3 linked regions of the Caenorhabditis elegans genome follow. The protein of the gene in region 3 purifies or fractionates together with the protein of the main gene of each other region. This does not show direct contact. Each region holds a gene or a part of one and is shown on either strand. Other genes may lie near its edges.

What was found.
Region 1: the proteins of T02G5.7 (region 3) and ech-7 fractionate together in Caenorhabditis elegans (co-fractionation; one large-scale study listed by BioGRID). This does not show direct contact.
Region 2: the proteins of T02G5.7 (region 3) and uroc-1 fractionate together in Caenorhabditis elegans (co-fractionation; one large-scale study listed by BioGRID). This does not show direct contact.

What each region holds. Positions count from the first base shown.
Region 1 is NC_003279.8:14,364,528-14,371,455, forward strand, and holds ech-7 (putative enoyl-CoA hydratase, mitochondrial), read right to left. Parts: upstream 5,247-6,928; coding exon 5,005-5,246; intron 4,334-5,004; coding exon 3,955-4,333; intron 3,947-3,954; exon of another isoform or gene 3,870-3,946; intron 3,242-3,869; coding exon 3,092-3,241; 3' UTR 3,089-3,091; downstream 1-3,088. Other genes in the region: slc-30A5 (Proton-coupled zinc antiporter SLC30A5), read left to right, coding at 107-610, 1,897-2,130, 2,786-2,878; bbs-1 (BBSome complex member BBS1), read right to left, coding at 6,796-6,928.
Region 2 is NC_003282.8:16,535,422-16,545,839, forward strand, and holds uroc-1 (putative urocanate hydratase), read right to left. Parts: upstream 7,329-10,418; 5' UTR 7,286-7,328; intron 6,947-7,285; exon of another isoform or gene 6,926-6,946; intron 6,903-6,925; 5' UTR 6,902-6,902; coding exon 6,776-6,901; intron 6,498-6,775; exon of another isoform or gene 6,473-6,497; intron 6,033-6,472; exon of another isoform or gene 6,006-6,032; intron 5,976-6,005; coding exon 5,704-5,975; intron 5,658-5,703; coding exon 5,516-5,657; intron 5,470-5,515; coding exon 5,341-5,469; intron 5,337-5,340; exon of another isoform or gene 5,316-5,336; intron 5,305-5,315; exon of another isoform or gene 5,284-5,304; intron 4,988-5,283; exon of another isoform or gene 4,967-4,987; intron 4,737-4,966; exon of another isoform or gene 4,716-4,736; intron 4,350-4,715; exon of another isoform or gene 4,329-4,349; intron 4,030-4,328; exon of another isoform or gene 4,009-4,029; intron 3,949-4,008; coding exon 3,656-3,948; intron 3,589-3,655; exon of another isoform or gene 3,568-3,588; intron 3,385-3,567; coding exon 3,043-3,384; intron 2,991-3,042; coding exon 2,869-2,990; intron 2,789-2,868; exon of another isoform or gene 2,768-2,788; intron 2,664-2,767; and 17 more.
Region 3 is NC_003280.10:7,072,909-7,079,546, reverse strand, and holds T02G5.7 (Acetyl-CoA C-acetyltransferase), read right to left. Parts: upstream 3,934-6,638; 5' UTR 3,921-3,933; coding exon 3,791-3,920; intron 3,742-3,790; coding exon 3,194-3,741; intron 3,149-3,193; coding exon 2,775-3,148; intron 2,604-2,774; coding exon 2,483-2,603; 3' UTR 2,359-2,482; downstream 1-2,358. Other genes in the region: kat-1 (Acetyl-CoA acetyltransferase homolog, mitochondrial), read right to left, coding at 4,138-4,258, 4,333-4,672, 4,722-4,857, 4,908-5,060, 5,157-5,420, 5,523-5,732.

The sequences.
Region 1 (6,928 bases), on a different chromosome or scaffold from region 3:
ACTTTCACTGCAAAAGTGGTGCAAAAGTCACCTACAAATATTAGTGTAAAATACACAATTTCTATCAAATTTTGATAACTAACTATATAATTTTTTTTTGATGCAGATTCTCTCCGGCTTCATCAATGCCCTATTCCTATGTGTTATCGCGTTGTTCATCCTTATTGAAGCACTCGAACGACTCTTCGATCCACCAAACATCAACACTGATCGTCTTTTATTCGTCGCAATTTCCGGACTTATCGTGAATCTATTCGGAATGTATTCTCTCGGAGAACACGGACATTCTCATGGTGGTGGATCGAGTCATGGTCATTCCCATGGTGGAGGTGGTAGTCATGGACACTCTCATGGTGGAGGAGGAAATGCGAATATGCAGGGTGTATTCCTTCATGTTCTTGCCGATACACTTGGTTCTGTATTTGTGATCATTTCGACGTTACTTATTCAATGGTTCGGATGGGTTTGGGTTGATCCGTTGTGTTCGTTGATCTTATCACTTCTGATCATTGGATCAGTGTATCCATTGTTGGTTTCATCGATTAGTACGTTGTTGCAAGATGTTCCGGAGGAAGAGGAGTTCGAGTATCATATTAATGAGATTTTGGAGGTATATCATTGTTTTTTTTTTTGGAAATTGGTACTGTAGGGGTACTATAGGAGTACTGTAGGGTGTTGTAGGATTACTGTAGGGTTGCTGTAACTATAGGGGGGCTGTAGGAATATTTTGTTGGTACTGTAGGGGTACTGTAGGAGGGTTACTGCGTTGGTTGTGTAGGATTACTGTAGGAGTTTTGTAGTGATATTGTTGGAATACATAATTTGTTATGGTTATGTATGGGCTACTGTACGGATACTGTATTGATACTGTAGGGATATCGTAGGAATACTGTAGGAATACTGTAATAGTATTATAGGGGTATCGTAGGAGTACTGTATTAATACTGACGGAGTACTGTAGGAATACTGTATTGGTACTGCCAGAGACTGTGGGAGTACTGTAAGGATATTATTACTTATGGGGATATTTTAGGAATACTGCATTGGTGCTGTAATAGTATTATAGGGGTATCATAAGAATACTGTACTGTTGAAATTAATTCATCGATCCTTGAATTTCGCAAAAATTTTTGTCGCACAGAAAGTGGGGCGGAGCGTAACTTTCGCAATACTGCCGCACGGTGTTTTTGTACGCCTCTTTTCCAATGATTTTCTTGTTGATTTTTTCGAATAAAGTTTCAATTTTACTTGTCTTTTCGTTTTTTCGATTTGGATAACGTTCTCATTCGAAAAAAAAACAAACGAAGAAAGACAAATAAAATTGAAACTTTATTGAAAAAATCAAAATCATTAGAAAAGAGGCGTACAAAAACACCGTGCGGCAGTATTGCGAAAGTTACGCTCCGCCCCACTGTCTGTGTGACAAAAATGTTCGCAAAATTCAAGGATCGATGAATTAATTTCAACAGTAGAGTATTCTTATGATACCCCTATAATACTATTACAGTACCAATACAATATTCCTAAAATATCCCCATAAGTAACAATATCCTTACAGTACTCCAACAGTCTCTGGCATTACTACTGTAGGGGTACTGTAGAAGTAGTGTATTGGTACTATGAAGGTACTGCATTTGTTATCGTTATGTATGTGGTACTGTAGGGGTACTGTAGTTCTAGAAATATTGTTTTTTTTAGTTTCTGCGAGTTCCTAAAAAACATCGTGGAAATTTCTGCAACTTTTTGAAAAAATTCAAGAATTTTCTGAATTTCCTTCAGAACTGTCCGAAAATTTCTGAAACGTTCTAGAAAGCTGTTGGAAATTTTAAGAAACTTTCTGAGCTTCTGAACAAAAAATTTAAATATCTGAAAAAAAACCCCTTAATTTTTGCACAGATCGAGCACGTAGAATCGTATTCAAATGCACACATGTGGCAGCACAAATCGGATATCAACGTGGCAAGTGTACACGTTCAAGTGAAAGAAGAAGCGAATGCACAAATGATTCGACACCGTGTCTCGAATATCCTGAAGAGCACTGGAGCCACCCACTCAACTGTACAAGTTGAGAAAAAGACATTTGCACACAGGATACAACAAGTGTGTCCTGGATATAAAGCTGGTTATACGGTACGGGATGCTTTGTTGCTTAGAGGACAAAATATCTTTAAAAATGACAATTTTTCAAAAAAAAAGTTGTTTTTTTTCAGGAAATGTTTTATTTGATTAAATTTAATAATATTTCTAAAAACTACAAATTTCTGATTTTTTTGTTGAATTTTTTCATTCGAAAAAAAATAATTTGGAGCATTTTTTGCCATTTTTATATTTTCGATAGTAATAATATATAAAGTATTAAAAATATCTGAAATTGTAGATTTTTCCAATTTCAGAAATTTTTAATTACTTTATTACTATCGAAAATATAAAAACGGCAAAAAATGCTCCAAATGAATTTTTTTTCCAATTTTCAACAAAAATCTGAAATTTGCAGTTTTTAGAAATATTATTAAATTTCGTCAAATAAAACATTTTCTGAATAAAAAAATCGTAATTTTTAAAAATTAATTTTAATTTTTTTCGGAATTTTCAGTTAATTTTCGACTATAAAAATGAGAGAAAGTTGAAATTTCAGAAATAAAAAAAAATCGTTATTTAAAAAATAATGCTAAAATTCTGAAAAAAATTGTTAAAAAATTGTTCCTGAAATTTATGAAATTTTCTCAAATGTTGAGCATTTTTAATTGAAAAAAAGGGTAAACATTCAAATTTTCTCCAATTTCAGGTAGTCCGCGGAAGTGTGATAAGAGAGAAGAAGCATGATCATTCACATCACCACGGGCATTCACACGACGATCACAGCGGACATCATCATTAATTTATTCCAGTAGTATTTTTTTTCTTCTGAAATTCACTTATTTATAGTCATTTTTCCCCTTTTTTTCTAGTGTCTTTGCTTTACATTTCGGGATAATTTATTGTGTTTTTGTGTGTTTTTTCCCTTTTTTTCTCCCCCAAAAACCACCCCAAAGTTCCTTCAAAGAGTTAATGAAATTAATTTATTTTTAGAAAAAAAAAACGTTTTTTTTTTTCAACTTGAAGTCCATTTGGGAGCCCGTTTCTCTGCGAAAGCTGACATTCCTTCCCGGCGGTCATTGGTGGCGAAGGTCGACTGGAACAACTGCTTTTCCATTTCAAGGCCCTGATTTAGGCTGGTTTGGTAGGCCGAGTTTAGGGATCTCTGCAAGAAATTGGGAATATAATGTCTGCCTATGTGCCTACCTCATGCCTACATGTCTACCACATACCTAGGCCCCTAGCTCATACCTGCTTACCTGCCTATTCACTGACTATTCACAGCCTTTTTGCTGCCTACGATCCTGCCTGCCTTATGCCTACCAGTCTACTTCATGCCTAGGCGCCTACCTCATACCTACCTACCTATTTTATGCCTGACTGCCTAGCTACTTGTTTTCCTCATGCCTACATATTTTACGACTACCTGCCTGCCTCTTGCCTACCTTATGACTAGGTGCCTACATGCATTCCTTCTTGCCTACGTGCCTAGCTGCCTACATGGCTGTCTCCTACTTCATGCCTACACACCTATGTTATGCCTCTGCCTACCTACCTGCCTTACTCCTAGGTGCTCATTTCTACCTACCTACATAGCTACCTTATTTATGTCTCCCTATCTGCCTGCCTACCGCATACCTACCTAAAATATGCCTGCCCGCGTGCCTATTTCATGCCTACCTATTCTTTTATTTTCTTCTAGCTTGCCTGCCTACCTAATGCCTACCAAGTTTACACCTACCTACATACCTAATTTGTGCCTACCTTATGATTATGTGCTTACATCGGCCCTACATCGTGCCTACATCTTGCCTGCCTACGTGCCTATTCCATGCCTAATAGGCAGGTAAGCAGGCGTAGGCATTCCCGAAAACGTACCTTGACAGTTTTCACAATAAGAGGAGAATTCTTAGCGATCCTATCAGCCAACAGAACAGCCTCCCCAACCAACTGCTGCACCGGGAACACCTTGCTCACCAGGCCGTCTTCCTTCGCCTCCTGAGCGCCTAGTCGGTCGCCTGATAGGCATATTTCCATGGCAACTGACTTGCTCACATACCGGGGCCATCGTTGGGTACCACCTAATCCGGGGATGGTTCCGATGGTGATTTCCGGTTGGCCGAATATTGCATTCTCTCCAGCATATACTATATCACACATTAAGGCAAGTTCCGTGCCTCCGCCTAAGGCAAATCCGTTGACAGCGGCGATCACAGGTTTTGTGATGTGTGATAAGGTGTCCCAGTTCGTGAAATAGCTGAAAATTAGGTATGTTTTGTGCCTGCCTGTCTGCCTAGATGCCTAGCTTGTGCCTACCTGCCTACATGCTTACTATACGTCTGCCTACCTAGGTTGATGCGGGCCTCATGCTCGCTGTCCACACGTCCATATACCTGCCTAATGTCTGCCTGCCTTTGTGCCTTCTCCATGCCTAGATGCCTAGTTTGTGCCTGCCTCCTTCAAACCTACCTGCCTACGTGCCTATCAACTTACATCTGTCTGCCTTCCTACGTACCTACATACTTACCTACCTGCAAGCATGCCTACCTACCTCACGCTTATCTAATGCATGCCTACCTACACGATTTTTGCTCAGCCATCTCTACCGGCCCTGTCTTCAGTGTGCCTGCCTAAATGTGCCTACCTGCCTGCTTGTTACCCTATATACCTGGCTACCTACCTACCTACCTGCATGCACGCCTACCTACGAGTCTACGTGCCTACCTTGGTCCCTACCGCATAATCATATCTGCTTACATGCTTACATGCATCTGCCTAGATATTTGTATTATGCCTACCGGCCTACCTGACTATCTTCCGGTCTTTGTACTTGACTGCGTGCCTACCTACATGCCTGCCTGCCTACCCTCAAGACAAATAGACACCATGTAGGCACGTAGGCAGGCAGGCGCCTACACCAAAACTCACTCATTCTCAAAAACATCTGCAAACTCCAACTTGGCCATCTCCTTGATATCGGCTCCGGCAGCGAATGCCTTCTCACTTCCAGTGAGCACAATCACATGGTACGACTGATCCTTCTCCACTTTCAGCAGATTTTCAGACAATTCCAGCATAAGCTCACGGCAGAGAGCATTCAGAGCACTCGGGCGGTTCAGAGTGATCAGTGCAACGTTTTCGGCGGCTCCGGTACGTGAGAGGGTAATCATCTGGAATAAAAAGTGGAATTGGAAATTGACAACACTTTTGGCTTTGTGAAATTGGACAAAAAACGGGGGATATAGTCAGGGTACTGTAGTAGTACTGTAGGATTACTGTAGTTTTGGAAAAATTGGCTTTCTGTCTTTCGAAGGGATGATGGTTTGGAGTGAGTGGGGGGGGGGGGGGGATATGAGCAGGGTACTGTAGTAGTACTGTAGGGGTACAGTAGGAGTACTGTAGGATTACTGTAGTTATGGAAAAAAAAAAATTACTGTTCGTCTTTTGAAGGGATATTGACTTGAAGTTAGTAGGGGGATATGATCAGGGCACTGTAGTAGTACTGTAGTGGTACTGTAGGGGTATACGGTAGGGTTGCTGTAGTTTAGCAAAATATGAGTTTTTAGCTTTTGCAGAGGTATTGGGTTTGGAGTTGGTGGGGGATATGATCAGGGTACTGTAGTAGTACTGTAGGGGTATTGTAGGTATAAGATAGGGTTACTGTAGTTATAGAAAAATTGGCTTTGTGTATTTTTTAGGATTATTGATTTGAAGTTAGTAAAGGGATATGGTCAGGGTACTGTAGTAGTACTGTAGGGGTATACGGTAGGGTTACTGTAGTTTGGGAAATTTGATATTTTGCCCTTTTGGGAATTATTGACATGATGTTAGTAGGGGAATATGGTCAGGGTACTGTAGTACTGTAGGGGTACTGTAGGAGTACTGTAGGATTACTGTAGTTTTGGAAAAATTGGTTTTCTATCTTTTGAAGGGATATTGGTCCGATGGTCGTAGTCGAGGTACTGTAGTAGTAATGTATGGGTACTGTAGGTATACGGCAGGGTTACTGTAGTTGTAGAAAAATTGACTTTCTATCTTTTTAAGGAATATTGACTTAAAGTTAGTAAGGGGATATGGTCAGGGTTCTGTAGTAGTACTGTAAGGATACTGTAGGAGTACTGTAGGATTACTGTAGTTTGGCAAAATATGAGTTTTTAGCTTTTGAAGAGGTATTGGGTTGGGAGTTGGTGGGGGGATATGATCAAGGTACTGTAGTGGTACTGTAGGGTACTGTAGGTATAAGATAGGGTTACTGTAGTTGTAGAAAAATCGACTTTTCGTCTTTTGAAGGGTTATTGCTTAGGGGTTAGTGGGAGATATGGTAGTACTATAAGGGTTTTTTCTGAAACTTCAATTTTCTCCGAAAATTTTCACAGAAATCTGGATTTCCGAAAGTTTCACAATAAGCCTAATTGATTTTTTTTCTGAATGAATAACTATTTGGTATAACTCAATGATTTGTTAATTTTCAAAGTTTCTTTTGTCTGTTGTAAGAATTGTTGAACGTTAAAAAAACATCTACTTCAAAAAATAGTTAAAACGGTGCCAGTCGTTGTCCGCGCCGGAGTCTGGTTTATTCAATATTTTTATATGTATAGCGGAAAAATAGAAAAATTGATAAGAGTTCAGTGATAAGGAGCACACCACCACCAACACATCATGGCATGATTCTGGGCTCAGCGAGCACACAAATCGGAGCCAATAAGGGGAAAACTGGAACTAATCAAGTGGAAATTCGCTGAAGGGCATCTTGATGACCGCAGTCACAATTGGTGTGGCCCGTTTTGCATGGACTAGGAGGGCTCGGACATCGCAGTTGGCGGCCTTCTCCGGATCCTTGCAGTAGAGCAAT
Region 2 (10,418 bases), on a different chromosome or scaffold from region 3:
AGTGAATTTTACTGTGTATACTCGACACTGTAATAAATCAATCCGTGAAAACACAAATCAGAGATAAGTACATATTAAAGAGAGGGTTTTTAGAAAAAAAAAACAAATCACGTCCAATCCAGCAGTCTTGCCTATATGGGCTACTTGAAACATCACTCACATTTTTTAAAGTTTGAAATAATTAAATGTGTGCCAAAGTTTTAAAGGTACAACCAAACTGGTACCGGTATGACATAACAGAATTATAACTTAAATGAAACAGTAATCTTTTGCTCTGAAAATCGGTCATTACTTGGGCAAAAAGGAAGCACAATAATAAACTTTTATTGGAACGAAGTATTTTTTAAAATTAAAAATTAATTTCAGAAATTCAATTTATCAAAGTAAAAATTCAAAATTTCAACTTCTTCAACAATTCCTCATCAGCTTCCACTGGCAATGTAACTCTAAGCCCATCAACTTGTTTTTCAGCACGTTGAATTGCTTCCTGAGCCTTTGCATTTCCAGACCAAGAACGACGAGTAACTCCATTAGGTACATCCCAATTGAGCATTCCTTCAGCTCGGCGGGCAGCATCACTTGAGCCATCAAGAACAATACCGAAACCTCCATTGATGACGTCACCCCATCCAACACCTCCACCATTGTGAAGGGCAACCCATGTAGCACCACGGAATGAGTCACCTGAAATGGAAAGGAAACAGTCATTGTGGATCAGTTTTACTCAATATTGATTTCATTTTTGTGAACAATGCGAAACAGTGAAATTTTTGAAAAATTATAAATTGTTGTTTTTTTTTAAATATGTAGCCCCTATCCACTTACCAATACAATTCTGTACAGCCATATCAGCTGTAAAAGCACTTCCATCATAAACATTTGAAGTCTCACGGAATGGAGAATCAGTTCCAGAAACATCATGATGATCTCTTGAAATTACAATTGCAGCCGACACTTTTCCAGATTTCACGAGCTCATTGAATGCAGAAGCCAATGCAACTCTTCCAGCACGATCCGAATATAGAATCCGTGCCTGTGAGCCAACGACGAGCTTATTTTTCTCGGCTTCTTCTATCCATTTCTTGTTGTCCAAATATTGCTGTTTCACGTATTCGGGGACTGAAACGTTGGTTTAACAGAGTCTATGAAACATGATAAATGTGCTTTGAAATTTGGAGTTGGTGGTTTGATTTGCTCAGCCTTATTAAACTAGCAAAAAATAATGATTCGATTTTTGGTTCTCAAAATGAAAAAATCAATGTCTCTGCTAGAAACAGAAAGTTTCAAAACTTGGCAGCAGTGTGAGTATATTTCGGAATAAAAATAACAACCCAATTAATTTTCAGTGGTACCCATTCAAGAAGAAGACGTGGTGATTTTTTGCAAATTTTCTCAGAATTTTTAAGAGCGAATATTTGTTAAAGTTAAGGGTACCCATTTCAAATAATTCATTCAGGATCATAGTATTTTGAAGATAATAAAAAACATAATTTTTTACAAATTGTCTAATACAATACGTTACAAATTAAAATGCAAAGTTGGAAACAGTGAAAAATTCTCAAATTCAACTTGTTTTCAAACCGCATCTCCTATCTCTCGTTTTGGTATACTTGCTTTGCGGTCGACACTTTGTGAATTGTTCATCATGGTACGACATATCCCGGGTTTCCGGGAACGATGTTAATTTTTTTCAGCGGAAAAGACATTTTCGGTAGACTTTCAACTTTTCCAAGCATAAATTTGATAAATAACCTGATGAGTTCCCCTAAAACTACATGTTTCTACTCTTAAAGGTGGAGTACCGAAATTAGAGACTCTGTTTTTTTAGAACAAAATGAGCCCAAAACTACCGAATTTTGTGATGAGACGTTCTGAAAATTTCTTTAAAAAAAGTTATGAAGGTTCAAAGTTTTAGAAAATAAGGCCCATTTTCAGCTAAAATCGAAATTTTATCTAATTTCTCGGTGTTGCAACGTTTGGAATTGAATTTTTATTTATTCATCTCTTTTTAATAAATAATGTGGCCTTTGATTGGGCGTTTATTCGTTGATTTAAGTACATTTATGGTCAGTGAGGCACAAAATGTAACTTTTATTTGTGCCCCAAAGACCATAAATGTAGTTAAATCAACGAATAAACGCCCAATCAATGACCACAATATTTATTAAAAAGTGATGAATAAATGAAAATTCAATTCCAGACGTTGCGACACCGAGAAGTTGGAAAAAATTTTGATTTTAGCTGAAAATGGGCCTTATTTTCTAAAACTTTGAACCGTCATAACTTTTTTTTTTGAGAAATTTTCAGAACGTCTCATTACAAAATTCGGTAGGTTTGGACTCATTTTGGTCTAAGAAAACAGAGTCACTAATTTCGGTACTCCACCTTTAATATGTTATTTTTTAATTCAGCAAAATTAATAAAATAAAATAATCGAACATACTTTAATGACTATGCGAAATTGTAGAAGTTTTCTGCTTTTTTTTAGCAATATTTCCGGAATAACCTCTTTCAAAAAGCGAAAATTATATAAACTTCTCGAAACAGTACGCTATTTTATTTAGTAGTTATTTACGGTTTCAAGAATATTACACTGGCTATTCGTTTTTCTTTTTTTTTTTCAACAGCTTCACATCCCTAAATTTCCTAACAAATATTAAAAATTAAAGTCAAAATTCGTCGGCAGTTTTATGGACAATATGAAACAGCATATATATGATTTCTCGCCAACAAATGCTCAATTTTATGAGATTAGTACTAAATTTCAAAGATACACACACTGAACCCATCAAATTTCTCAAAATAGTGAACATACATATAGCCATAGTGAAACAGTCGATTTTTTTGTTACAACATAAAAGCACTCACCATCAGTATCCTTCAACTCATCAATAATCTTGCATGCTGTCTGATCAGTCAATCTCAAATCTTCCGGCTTTCCAGAAGTACAAACCCATCGGAATGGTCCAAATCCCATTGAAAAGATGTCTCTGAAACAGAATTTATTTTATTTAAATTGTACTCTTTTCAAATAATTATTACCCCATAATATCCTGCATATAACTTGGATATCTAAACGATTTATCATCCTGAGCATCCTCTCTGAGCAAATTGGCTCCAGCTCTCTGGCATTCCAAAAGGAAAGCATTACCGTAATCCCAGAAGTACATTCCCTTTGCAGCAATCTTGTCGATGGCGGCGATTTGGCGGATTAAAGAGTTTTGAACAAGTTTTTTGAATTTTACAGGATCAGAAGTCATCATTTGATTGGATTGTTCAAAAGTGAGTCCAGCAGGGTAAAAACCTCCAAGGAATGGATTGTGGAGAGAAGTTTGGTCACTTCCCAGTTCTACAAGACATTCCGGTTCCTCGGCGAGCCGTTCCCTGGAATTTTGAAAACTCATAGTTTTTTGTCTAGAATTTTTGTGAATAATGTTTTACCAAGTTTATTAATTGTGAAAAATCTTTGTAAAAAATTCTGTAATTTAAAAAAAATCTTGGTTCCGAAACTATGAGATATATTATTTGTATTACAATTTTTTCCGCTTTTCTCGTTTCCTTTAATTATTTTCCCTCTTGCTCCGTAGATCGCCTTTCACACTTTCATAAAAAAATTTAACAACTTTCTGAAACAGTAAAATTTTCTAAAACTCACCACAAGTCAACAACATTCCCCAAATATCCAATACTAATTGCCTCTTTTTTCTCTCTGTACTCTTTAATCCAATTCACAATTTCCTCAAGATCCTTCGAATATACATCCAACCATCCCTGTTGATGACGTTTCAACAATGCAGTATCACTAATTTCCGCAATAACTCCAATACATCCAGCAATCTTAGCTGCTTTTGGTTGAGCTCCACTCATTCCTCCAAGTCCTGCAGTTACGAAAACCTTACCAGCAAGGGAATCCAGTCCCATACGACGACCAGCGTTGAGGACTGTGATCTGGAGAATTTTTACTGTTTCAGGGGGTTCAGAAATTCAGGAGAGTTGTGATGAAATTAATCGGACAAGAAGAATAGATCGAGAAAAACTCATATAGTGACGTCACTATTTTTCTATATGGGTAGAAAAGCTGTAATCTGTTGCATCTGGTCTCGAATCATTTAGATTTCTTTAAAATATTATAAAGTGAAAAGACTTTCAACTTTCTGCTTCTAATAAGTCAATTTTGAAAAACCTTAAGAAAATTACGAAATTCAAATTAAAAAAAAATGTTATCAGTTCTGGTTCATTATGTAACTACTGAAAAAATAAAAATAAAATTTACAAAAATTTATTTTTTCACAGTTTCTACATATTTTAGGGCTTTGTAAGATAGCTATTCGACTCTATTTAAGGTGGAGTACCGAAATCTGAGATTTTGCTTTTTCCGACCCAAGATTCCCCAAAAACTACTGAATTTCGTAACGAGACATTTTGAAAATTTCTCAAAAAAAAAAGTTATGGCGGTTCAAAGTTCTGATAAAAAAGGTCTCATTTTCAGCTAAAATCAAAAATTTTGTCATCTTCTAAGTGTCTGGAACTAAATTTTTGTTAAATTATCACTCTTTAATAAATACTGTGGTTAGTTGAAGTAAGTAAATTTTTTCAGTGGGACAAAATATTATCAGCTTTGGTTCATTATGTAACTCTTGAAAAAAAAATTACAAATTTCAGAAATTTATTGTTTCATTGTGTCTACATATTTTAGGACTTAGAGAGTTAGCTATTAGGAAGGTTTTCAAGAGAACACCGCTATAAATTAAAGCAATATATCAAGTTTTCTTGACGCCACTTCTCTACTACTTTGGTGGAGTTTGGATTATAAAATAACTAGAATAATACACAAAAACTTAACAAAAATCATTCAAATACTATCTGAAACCGTTGTATACTGAAAACCTTCTGTGTAGCCCATATCCCAGAATAAAATTTACTGTTTCAGTGTGTTCATATATTCTGGCAGTAATAAGGTGTTTAATGCCAAAACTTCAGCTTTGGTTCATTATATAACTATTTAAAAAAAAAAATAAAATTTACAAAAATTTAATGTTTCACAGTGTCCGTATATTTTAGGGCTGAGTTAGTTATTAGAAATAACATGTTTTCTTTGAGTCACTTCTCTACTACATTGGTGCAGTTTGGATTATATAAATGACAAGAATCATATTCAGAAAAAAAAACAAAAATCTTGAAATCCTTGAATTTTTGCCTTTGAAATTCCATCTAAAACCGTTGTATACTGAAAACCTTCTGCTTTGCCCATTTTCCAAAATAAATTTGACTGTTTTAGTGTGTTCATTAAATTTGACGGTAATACGGTGTTTTAATGCCAAACTCCATTTAACGGCTTACCGTAGTCCCGTGTACAATTCCCTGTGGTCCAATATAACAGAAACTTCCAGCAGTCATTTGTCCGTACTGCGTCACTCCTAATGCAAAATACTTGTCGTACAGCTCCTTTGTCGAGTAGCTCGGGATCATCTGAAATGTCAAAATGTACGAAGCATCCTAGTTTCCAAAGGCCTACCATTCCATTAGTAACAGTCATTCTTGGCGAGTCCGGGGTTGATGGAAATAGGCCCAATGGGTGTCCGGAATAGAGCACCAAAGTTTGATGGTCAGTCATTGTGTAGAGGTAACGAAGAACCAGACGGAATTGGATCCAATTGCTGAAATATCATTTCTCAAGCATTTCAGAAAGATTCCCATGCTAACCTAAAAACTTGACCATTTCCTCCATAAGTCACCAATTCCTGTGGAAACTGGGCAACCCGCTTGTCCAAATTGTTTAGAATCATCAAAATGATAGCCGATGCTTGTTCGCAATGAGCTCCGATCTCCGAGACGGGCGGCGCGAATAGATCAAAGTTTGGCATGAACCGATACCCATAGATGTGTCCATAGGTGTTGAGCTCTTCAGCGAACTCGGTGGCTAGAAGGACGTGATGCTCTTTTGGAATGTAGCGGAGAGCATTGCGGACGGCGAGCTGGAAGAATTTTATAGTTGAAGCTGGTTGGGACCTGCATTGAAGTTCGAAACAATAAATTTTGGAATTCCACTTGTATTTTATCAAGTAAGTGAAACAGACTTTTGTAACTAATAGCCAACAGCTTTTCAGCTCCTAAATTAAAATTTGATCTGATTCTTGATCTTCTTGATTGTTCTTGATCTCGAAAACTACATAGCCTACCGACTTCAAAAACTGCTCCAAAATTGCAAAAAAATTGTAAATTTTGTTACAGTCTTCTCTTACTTTTTTCTGAACTAGAATTGGCACAACAACTTCATTCAATTAATTGGTATCTCCCAAATTGCGCCGAGCACAGAGAACACTGTGCAACCCGGGAGATGTCGGAACAATAAATTATAACATTGATCTCATTGCAAATAGTTTACCATAATTAGGAGTAGATTTGAAAAATTAAAGGTAAAAATGTTCACTGTTCCAAATATTGCATTTCAATTTGTAAAAAGTTCTATTAGTTAGTCAGTGTAGCATTTAAACTTCTTGATGCAACAAAAAAAAGCTAATTTTATTAAAAACTAGGCAAAAAATTTCAGAGTTTAGCCAAATTTTTCTAAAAAATTTGTTAGTTTAGGCTCATTTTCAGCCAACTTGTCAAAGATTATGTTTCACAGTCTTCTTTAAAGCGCTCAATGAAACAATGAAACTGTTTTTGCAGTTTCAAAAAATTCATTTGAAAAGAAAAAATTCCAAGTCAAGTGCCTAAACGTTTTTAATGAAACAGTACATTTTTTTTATCTTTTCAAAGATAAATTTATTACCATTTTCTCTGTCTGTGTAAGATTACACGGACGCTTTGGTGCGTGAGCCACATTCTTGGCACGTTGCTCCGTTGGATGCTCGAGGAGCGGAGAGAATGGGTCGACGAAGAGAGATGGGATGTTCATGCTGGAAAATTGAGTCTTCACAAACCGAGTCAACAGTATACGAAATTAGAAAAATCAACAGTAAAAACATTTTCTCAATGTGATGAAACAGTAATTTTTAAAAAATAAAATTTAAAAAAAAATTTCTAGAAAATTCTAGAAGTTACCAGATTTTTCTAAAAAATTCTTAAAGTTCCCACATTTTTCTAGAAAATTACAGAAGTTTATAGATTTCTCTGGAAATTTCTAGAAGTTTCCAGTTTTGTTCTAGAAAATTCTAGTAGTTTCCAGATTTTTCTAGAGCATTCTAGAAGTTTTAATACAATTTATTGGTATAGTTCATAAAATTGACAATTGCCGAATTCCAAATTTCGGTAAAATTTCGGCACTCATCAAAAAACTAACCTCAAAATTTGCCAACAAAACCGAACTTATTCTGATCAGCAATGAAAGATTTCTCGTGAATGTTCGACTTCTCCTCCCCCTTCTCCCACGTGGTATGTTCCTTCCCGCCCAATAGATCACCGCCATAAAATTCTCTGTTTTGATGATTCTCGTCTTCTGGTTCCAGGTTACGATCCTTGACGACGACGAAACGGTCGGATGATTGCATTTTTATTGGTTAGTTTCAAGGTGTGTGTGTGTGTATTTGGAAGAGAAAGATGATAAGATCTGAATGCAGAATCTCGCGATTGGGTAGAATTCGAAAATAGAACATTGGGACTTTAAAATTATTTATAAAATTAATTTTTTAGTTACTGTTTCCGCTAGTTGTTATAAATCGGTGATATATATTAAGAGTTTTATTGGAAACACAACTTTCAGAGCTTATAAATTTGACCGTTTCAACTAGTTGTTATAAAACTGCAATTTATTTGTTGCTTACTACCTACATCACATTTGTAAGTTAAAACTGTAAAACGAATTAAAATCTTTGGAAAAACAGTTTTTTCTGTTTTTTGTTTGTTTTTTGGTCCGAAGAATTTCGAAAAGAAATACCAAATTTTGCTTAAAGCATCCATAAAAAATTATAAAATAGAACATTGGATTTAACGCGAATTTAGTGGAAATTAACCGTGAGGCTATGAAATAAAAAATTACAGTTTCAGCTAGTTGCTATGTAGATGCAGTTTTATATTTCCTCACTGAAGCGACTAAAATTACAACATTTTGAATTCTTGCAGAATTTTTGAAATTGAAAAAAAATACAGGAGGAAGGTCTTACCAAAAAAAGTTTTTGATCAAAAATAAAAATAAAAAAGTTTTTTTTTTGAAATATAGTTTTCTTTTGGTTTTTGGCCCGAAAAAAAACAGAACATTTAAGAGAACAGTTCAGCACTTTAGTCCTCCAGGTGTGCTGCTGGACCACCAGGATTCTGAGGAGCTCCAGTACAAGATAGAGCTCTAGAAAATTATGTTTCTTACGGGAACACCCGAAACACGGGTCAAATTGACCGTGAGACTATCCAATTAAATTACAGTTTCAGCGTGTTCTTATGTACAACACGCTGAAACTGTAAATTTATTGGATAGTCTCACGGTATACCCAAACCACCTGCACAATTTTTACTTCAAGCTCAGAATCGCAAATTTGGCTCAAATTGAACGTGAGACTATAAAATAAAATCGCAGTTTCAACTAGCTGCTATGTACTAGTGAACATTCTTATTTCTCATTAATCTTTTTCTGATATTTGCTGTAAATTACAAAATGTCTTGTTAATTACAAAAACTAAGGTTTCCATGAAGGCGTTCAAATTCCCACCTGCCTGACCTTAAGGCGATCTCCGCCTGCCTCTTGCCTCAATACGCGCCTTATTCTAAAACATACACGAACTATTTGTTTTTTCATATCTTAATTTGATTTTCAACAAAATTATTGAAATGAGAAAAAAACGTAAAAATGCGATTCGAGGCAGGCGTCAGGTCCCTGAAACCGCGCCTACCTATTATGGAAGATCCAATTCTAATCCAATCCAAATATGGAATGTAAACGGCACTGCAAGTTTGTAATTAAATCACAATGTTTGAAAAAAAAAACAGATTTTTACAATTTGACAGTTTCAATTAGTTTTTATAAAAATGGCATTTGTTTTTGATTTAGTAAAAATCTTAGTAAAAGAACCAAAAAAAAAAACTACGAATTTTGTTTTAAACTCCCCGACTGAAAATTAAAATTCGTCCAAAAACAAAAAACAATACAAAAAATACTTTAGGTATGTTGCTGGACTACCAGAACATGACGGAGCTCCACTAAATTATGTTTCATCGGGAACATCCTAAAAATAAAAAAAAATTAAATTACCGTTTCAGCTTATGTACAAGAAATTTCTTTTTTTTGTTCGGTTGCTAACCCGACTTCTATCTTAACTATGAAATTAGTTTTTTTTTTCAATTCTTGCACCGTTTTTTAAGGTTTCAACTAGCTTTTATAAAAGTTTTTAAGACTTTTTCCGTTTAGTTCATTACGGCAAAAAAAACTTTTTTTGAGCTCTGAACCCAAAAAAAATTATAACTTTTAAATTAATTTTTACGACTACAAAATACAATTTTTTGAAAAACTCCTTTTTGCCCGAAAAAACAGAATGAACCCTAATAATAAAAATTGAATTTTGAAATGAAAACCAAGCTCAGAATCGCGAATTCAGCTGAAACTGTCTGTGAGACTGTAAACTTAAAAAACCGTTTCAACTAGTTGTTATGTACAAGTGCAATTTCTTTATGCTCAGTACATTAATAATTTGGACAAAAAACAAAAATCTACGAAAAACCTATATAATTTGCATAATAAAATTGCATAATTTTGAATTCTAGAAGCGTGGGATTTGACAGTTTCAACTAGATCTTATGAAAGTGAACATGATTCTTTGCTTTATTCATTGTCAGTTCTATGCTCCATGCTGTGAATGAATATAAAAGTTAAATTTATTTCTTTTATATTGTAGGCTGTTGAAAAATAGTTTTTGAATACCAAAAAAATTTTTTGAGGTGTGCTGCTGGACCACTTGGATTCTGAGGAGCTCCAGTACAAGATAGAGCTCTAGAAAATTATGTTTCTTCGGGAACACCCGAACCACATGCACAAGATTTTGTGAATCTGTGGAGGACAATTGAACTGAACAAGATGAAATTTACTGAGACAGTCGGGCCACCAGGATTACTTCCAGCTCAAAATTGCAAATTCGGGTCAAATTGGCCGTGAGACTATAAAATTTAATTGCAGTTTCAGCAAATTGTTATGTACAAGTGAAATATCGTATTTCTCATTTTGGTTGTCTTTTAGCTTTTCAACTTTCTTTTATAAAAGTTTACTTTTAACTTTTTTTGGTTTAGTTCATCACTAGATTTGCTTCAAAAAAAATTACGGGAAAAAAACAAAAAAAAAAACTTTTTTGAGCTCTGAAACCAAAAAAAAATTAAAGTTTTAAAAATAATTTTTCCGACTACAAAATACAATTTTTTTTTGAAAAACTCCTTTTGCCCGAAAAAACGGAATGAACCCTAATAATAAAAATTGAATTTTGAAAAGATAACTTAGA
Region 3 (6,638 bases):
TTGAAATATTGGTCCCATGGAACCTTGTAATCAAAGAAAAACGATTTGATTCCTGATAAGCCTTCCATTGTTTCCTGCTGCATATTTTGCCAAATCAGCTTGACTACACAGTCGAAACATCTAAAGTGCGTGCTAGGAATTTTAGTAGGAACTTGTTAAAGAGAGTTTATCAAGTTTTGGCATTACCGAGAGCACCAGGAAGCTTGAAACAGACTTGAACATCAAAGATCGGAAGAATCAGAACCAGTCTGGAGATCCCACGAGAACATTTCGTATTAATTTTTTAAAGTCAAAACTGCTTATATGAACTCATTTCTAACTCAAACTTGATTTGAGCTTTGTCAAAAATTCCAAAATCTGTTGATTTTAGTAAAAATCGTGAAAAAAAACGGGGGGTCCTATAGAAGTTTCACACTGGATTTTGACGTTTTTTCCAGCGCGACCTCAGTTTTTGAGATAAACTTCTGGAAAAAAATTTATATAGGTTTTTTTCAATTTAAAAACGAACGGCATTAGCAGTTTTTCGAAAAAATTTTCGGAAGTTCCTCAAACCTTCAAATTAGGGGGGGTCCTATAGAACTTTCCCACACTGTATATTCAATATATTTCTAACGTGAGCATTTCAGGTACTGCCCAATGAAGCCGTCGAGCCAGTTGTCCTTCAATGAGGATTTCAGCCGAGATTTCGAAAACCGCCGATTCCAGCGCAGTCGTTATCAATTTTACAAGCATTCCTCATTAATTCAGAAGATCTACGCATCATCCGAAGATTCTTTCTAGAAGATCCAATTTCTCAATACTTTTTTATATCGGGTCCAACTCGTTTATTTTCTACAAGCTTTCACAAACAGATAGTTTATTGAGTTACCCGTTCATAGCCTTTATTGATTCCAAATTTCCCATCTCACACTTTTCTACGGTCTATCATTTACTTTTTCTGCTAATAATGAATTATTCATACCGTATAATGGTCTCTATATTATCCACGTAACAACTTGTGCTTTTTCGTCGAATTGTCATCAATTTGTGGAAGAAAGTGGTAACTGAAAGAAAGAAGTTTCGAAAGAAATAGTTGTAGAGTTGTAGAATCACTTGTCAATTGCATTTGAATAGTTGGCGAGAGCTGCAATATCGAGAAAATGTGTAGCCAGGAAGGTATAGCTCTGAAAATAAAAATTTACAATTCGTTTTTTTGTTTTTACAAGCACATGTAACTTTAGAACCTTCTCACAAATCGCATAGGTGATGGCGATTCCTTCTTCAGTCGATGTGCTTCGTGCTAGCTCATCAAGAACTACAAGTGAGTTTTTATCGGCATACTGTACGATTGCAGCTGCATCTGACATTTCAGATGCAAATGCAGACTTATTTCTGATCAACTCGTCGTTATGACCCATTCTGGAGAAGATACGATTAAAAACTGAAATTAATTCGACGATAGAAAATAGCAAATCAAAACTTTTAGGTTACTTGGCAACGAAGCATAGTTTGCTGGAATGAAGCATCCTACCTATGCCATGATTGCTAGTTGGGCAGCTTGTTTCAGATATGTTGACTTTCCAGCCATATTTGGGCCTGTAATAATTCCGAAACGACGATCTCTTGTCAGACACTGAAATTACAGATAAAATGAAATCAATGGATTCCTATTCATTACCGTATCGTTTGTGATTGTTTTCTCGGAATCATCCCAGTCCAGGAAGATACTTTATTGAGTTACCCGTTCATAGCCTTTATTGATTCATCTCATTTCTTCACCAGGCTCGTCTTCCAACGCTGCAACATAAAGTATTCTTCATACGAGGATCGTTTGGCCCAAGCCAATTTGAAGTCAGTGCAATATAGGCGGGTCTTGCAGATCCTTCGCACCTACCACAACATCATAACTGGAAACTTCCACTACCCAAATGTGTCATCGTCGGTGAAGAAAGCTGTAACTCCAAGATACCCCTACATGCTCAGATCTGTTGGCGAAACAAACAAAGGATTCCTCAGAGCCAACCTCGCCACCTGGAACCGCCTAGCAAAGCAAATCCCGGAAAAATTAAATCGCTCTATGTTTGCTTCCCGGTTAAATTCTTCCCCCCTTAATATTCTCATTCCCCCAACTTGATCTCTCAAACTAATAATGGTTTATGGGATCATTTTATCATCCACCAATTCTTCCCTGTGATTATTTGTATACGATCTCCCCTTATATGTTTTGCCTTGAAGACGTGAATGAATGATATATCTCAAAAGAAAAATGCTTTTCCGATTTTTCCAGTATATCTCTTTTGAGATGGCTCAAAACCATTCCTGATAATGTACATATTAACCTTAATTCATTTCCCAATCAATAACACGTATGCACCATTTGAGAATAAACATTTATGTGACAAGAACCTTAACTATTTATAAATACGTAATCGAAATTTGTTGTAAAAGTGAATCAAGGAATGATGAATAGAAGACCAGAAAACATTTAGGCAAGAGGTTCATATTACAGTTTTTTGATGAGCACTGCTGTGGCTTCTCCTCCTCCGTTGCAAATTGCAGCTACACCGAGCTGTCCTGGAGCTAAAGAATATGCAAGGGAGTTGACGATTCGGAGACCAGACATTCTGAAAATTATTAAAATTAATATAGGTTTGTTCGGACTTAAAGTTTACTTTAAAATTTGTATGTTTTGTTTTTGTGTTTTAGAATGTTTTTTTGCTATCAGAATTTTCTCTGTACACATTCTAATTTTTCCGAAAACGCTCACTGAAGTTTGAATCAACAAAAAAACTTACCCAAGTGGATGCCCAATCGCTACTGCACCTCCTTTTACATTAACAACACTTGGCTCAATATTAAGTTCTTTGATGAAAGCAAGAACAGTGACGGCAAATGCTTCGTTGAGCTCCCACAATGCAATGTCTGAAACTTGGAGCCCGCTTTTTTTGAGAAGAAGACGAACGGCGTCCACTGGTGCCACGGTGAAATCAATGGGAGCTCTTCCAGCTTCAGCAAATGCCACGAGTTCAGCAAGTGGATGAGCTCCTTGTGGAAGAGCATTCTCTCCGACAACGACAGTTGCGACAGCTCCATCATTAAGCGAAGATGCATTGGCCGGTGTGATGGTTCCAGTGCCGTCACGAACGAAGACTGGTTTCAAAGAGGAAACCTAAATAAGTTTAATATTTTTGATAAACATTTTCTTTCTGCATACCTTTGACTCGATCAGTTTCTTATACTCCTCATCTTCAGTGATCACTACTTCCGATCTCGAAGTCTTAACACTAACTGGTACCACTTCTTCCGAAAACTTTTCAGAACTCCATGCATTTGAAGCTTTTTTATAACTTTCAATAGCATATGCATCTTGTTCTTCTCTAGTAATTCCATAATCTTTTACAGTCTTCTCAGCACATAATCCCATTGGACCTTTCTCTTTAATATCTTCAAGTCCATCCTTCGAGATTCCATCTGTCATCTGGATTCCTCCAAATGGAATTTCTCCTCTCGGCACGTAAAATGGAACTTGACTCATATTTTCAGTTCCAACAACAAGAATAGTGTCATAATATCCTGCTTTGATTTCCACAGCTGCTGTCACCAAGGCTTTCATCGAAGAAGAGCAAACCTTGTTCACCGTAACAGCTTGCGTTGTTACTGGAAGACCAGCCGACAAAGAGATCTGTCGGGTCACATTTTGTCCTAGACCGGCCGGAAGTACGCATCCACCAATTACTTCTTCGATTTTCTCCGGAGCAACTCCTAAAAATATTTAATATTTGTTTCAAAATTTCATTATCAGTAATTTAACCTGATCGTTCAATTGCTGCCTTTGCAGCGACCGTTCCGAGCTCAACTGCGCCAAAGTTAGCGAAAGATCCTCGGTAAGCTCCGATGGGAGTGCGAGCTCCACTCAGAATGAAAACTTTTTTATCCGACATTGCGATAGACTGTCTGAACTTTGGATTATTAGAAAAATCGCATACGAATAAAAAAAGATAACTGAAATTGGTTTGAAACCAATGAAAGAGAAGTAGATAATCAAAATAATAAATGAATCTATTTACCGGAGTTTCGATATGAGCGAAAAATACATAAATACAAGCTAATCGTGAAAAAAGGTAACAAACTTTAAACGAAAAAAGTTAAATTATAAATCTATAATTTCTGGATAACCATTCCACTTGAGCCACCACCTCCATTGCAAATGGCAGCAACTCCGATTTGGCCACTTTTGAGTGTGTGCACAAGATGAGTGATGAGGCGGGCTCCGGACATTCTGAAAGAAAAATAATCGATAACAAATTTACGATAAGAATGCGGAAAGAACGGTCAACTGATATGGCAACATACCCGATGGGGTGACCAATTGAAACAGCTCCTCCATGTGGGTTCACAAGGGATGGATCGACTCCTAGTTTTTTGATGAAAGCAAGGGGAACACATGAGAAGGCTTCATTAACTTCCCATTGAGCAACATCTGATTGCTTCACTCCTGCTCTTTCAAGAATTTTTGGGAACATCAAAGTTGGTGCTACAGCGAAATCGAGTGGGTGCGTGGCGGCATCTCCATAAGCCAAAATTCGGGCCAGAGGCTTTAAGCTTTGCTCGGAAACTGCTTCCTGTGAGGCAACAATGACAGCAGCTGCACCGTCGTTCAATGTTGAAGCATTAGCAGCAGTGATAGTTCCGTCTTAATATATTATGTTGATTTCAATTTTCACGATAAGAATAGTACAAACCTTTCTGGAAAACAGTTCTCAGCGAGGTGAACTTGTCGAAATTGACTTTTGTGAACTCTTCATCTTTATCAACAATCGTGACTCCCTTCTTTGATTTGACGTTCACTGGCACCACTTCTGGTCCGATATTTCCATTCTAAACAACATGGAATCATAAAACGCACAAAGAGCAATCAGTTGACAAACCTCCCATGCTTTAGCTGACTTTTTGTAGCTGTTGATAGCATATTCGTCTTGGTCTTTACGTGTAATTCCCATTTCTTTTGAAGTCTTCTCTCCGCAGTTTCCCATGTGAACTTTATCATAAGCATCGGTCAGTCCGTCTTTGACGATTCCATCCTGAATAAGAAAATGTGAGCATTGATTTCTTTTAAAGAAGTTTAAAGACTATTTTTAGACAATTTAATATTTTTTAGAAAAATAAATTAAACTCACAATCACTTGAAATCCACCATATGGGATCTCTCCTCTTTGAACATAAAATGGTACTTGTGACATGCTCTCCATTCCTCCGCCAATGGCAAAATCTTGATGACCGGTTTGAATTTGCTGGGCAGCAAGAATGATTGCTTTCAGCCCAGAAGAGCACACTTTATTGACGGTGGTAACAGCAACCGAAAGATCGAGTCCGGCTCCAAGAGCTGCTTGACGAGCGGGAGCTTGACCAGCATTTGCTTGACAGACTTGACCAAGGAACACCTGAAATTGAGGCATTTTAAGATTAAATCGGTAGTTTTTGGAAGTGATATAGAATTTCAGATATTACTAGTATAGAAAAATGCAAACAAAGAACACACTCGCCTCCTGAATTGAACTCGGCTTCACTGCTCCACGCTCCAATGCTGCTTTGATGGCAACCGAGGCGAGCTCTGGAGCAGTTACCGAAGAGAGAGAAGAACGAAATGATCCAATAGGTGTACGGGCGGCTCCGACGATGAAAGCATGTTTGTTTGATAGTGCAGCAGATGTGGTGATTCCGCGGCGAATTGCGTGTCCAGACGATGACAACATTCTGAAAAAAAAAAGAATTGACTCGACACAACTTGTTTTTGAAAATAAGATAAGAGAATGAAGAAATTCGTTCGGATCGAGATGAATGAGAGACAGAACAGAAGAAAGGAAAGATTATGATGGTTAAATAGAAAAGCTAGTACGGCGGTGGAGCGAAATTGCACTTTCTGTAAAAAAAAAGAAGGAAAGAGAGATATAGATTTTCTAGTCAAAAGTAGTGCTAATAAGGTTTTGTCGTTCTCATAAAAGAATTGAGATTAGTTACGTGTAGCTGTGAACTTTGGCGGTTTCGATACTCCTAGGAGCTCCTTGATTCTTTCATACAGGAGTTGCACTTGCTTTTCAAGAGTTCCCACGTGCAATTGAAAGTCAACTGTTCTTCTGTGACATCACACTGGAGACAGTAAAGAAAGAGAGTGAGAGCAATGTTCATATATCTAAGATCAAATGATGATGACAATATAAACTATCATTACACAACATTTCGATGCAAAAACGTTGAACTGTCTCTGAACTGCCATTTTCTAACACCTAAAGTGCTACAATAGGGGAGATAATCATAAATTAGATTTACAGCCTAAAAATTATGAACATCAAACGCGATTTTTAAAAGTTTGATATATATTTTAATCAACAATTCAATATTCGCCTAACAATTTTAAAATGCTCCATTTCGAATAATCAGTTTTCTTACTGATATTTTTTTAACTAAAACAAATGATTTCACAACAAATATTGCAACACTTTCCATCAGATTAAACAAGAAAACGCAACTCTGATAAGCTTTGTGCTTTATAAATAAAACAAAACAAAAATTAAATTACTAGCTTATGGTTGAATGAACTTTGGAAAGTTCTAAATTGGAGACACTACCGACACTGGAGAAATGTATTCCGTAGAAATGCT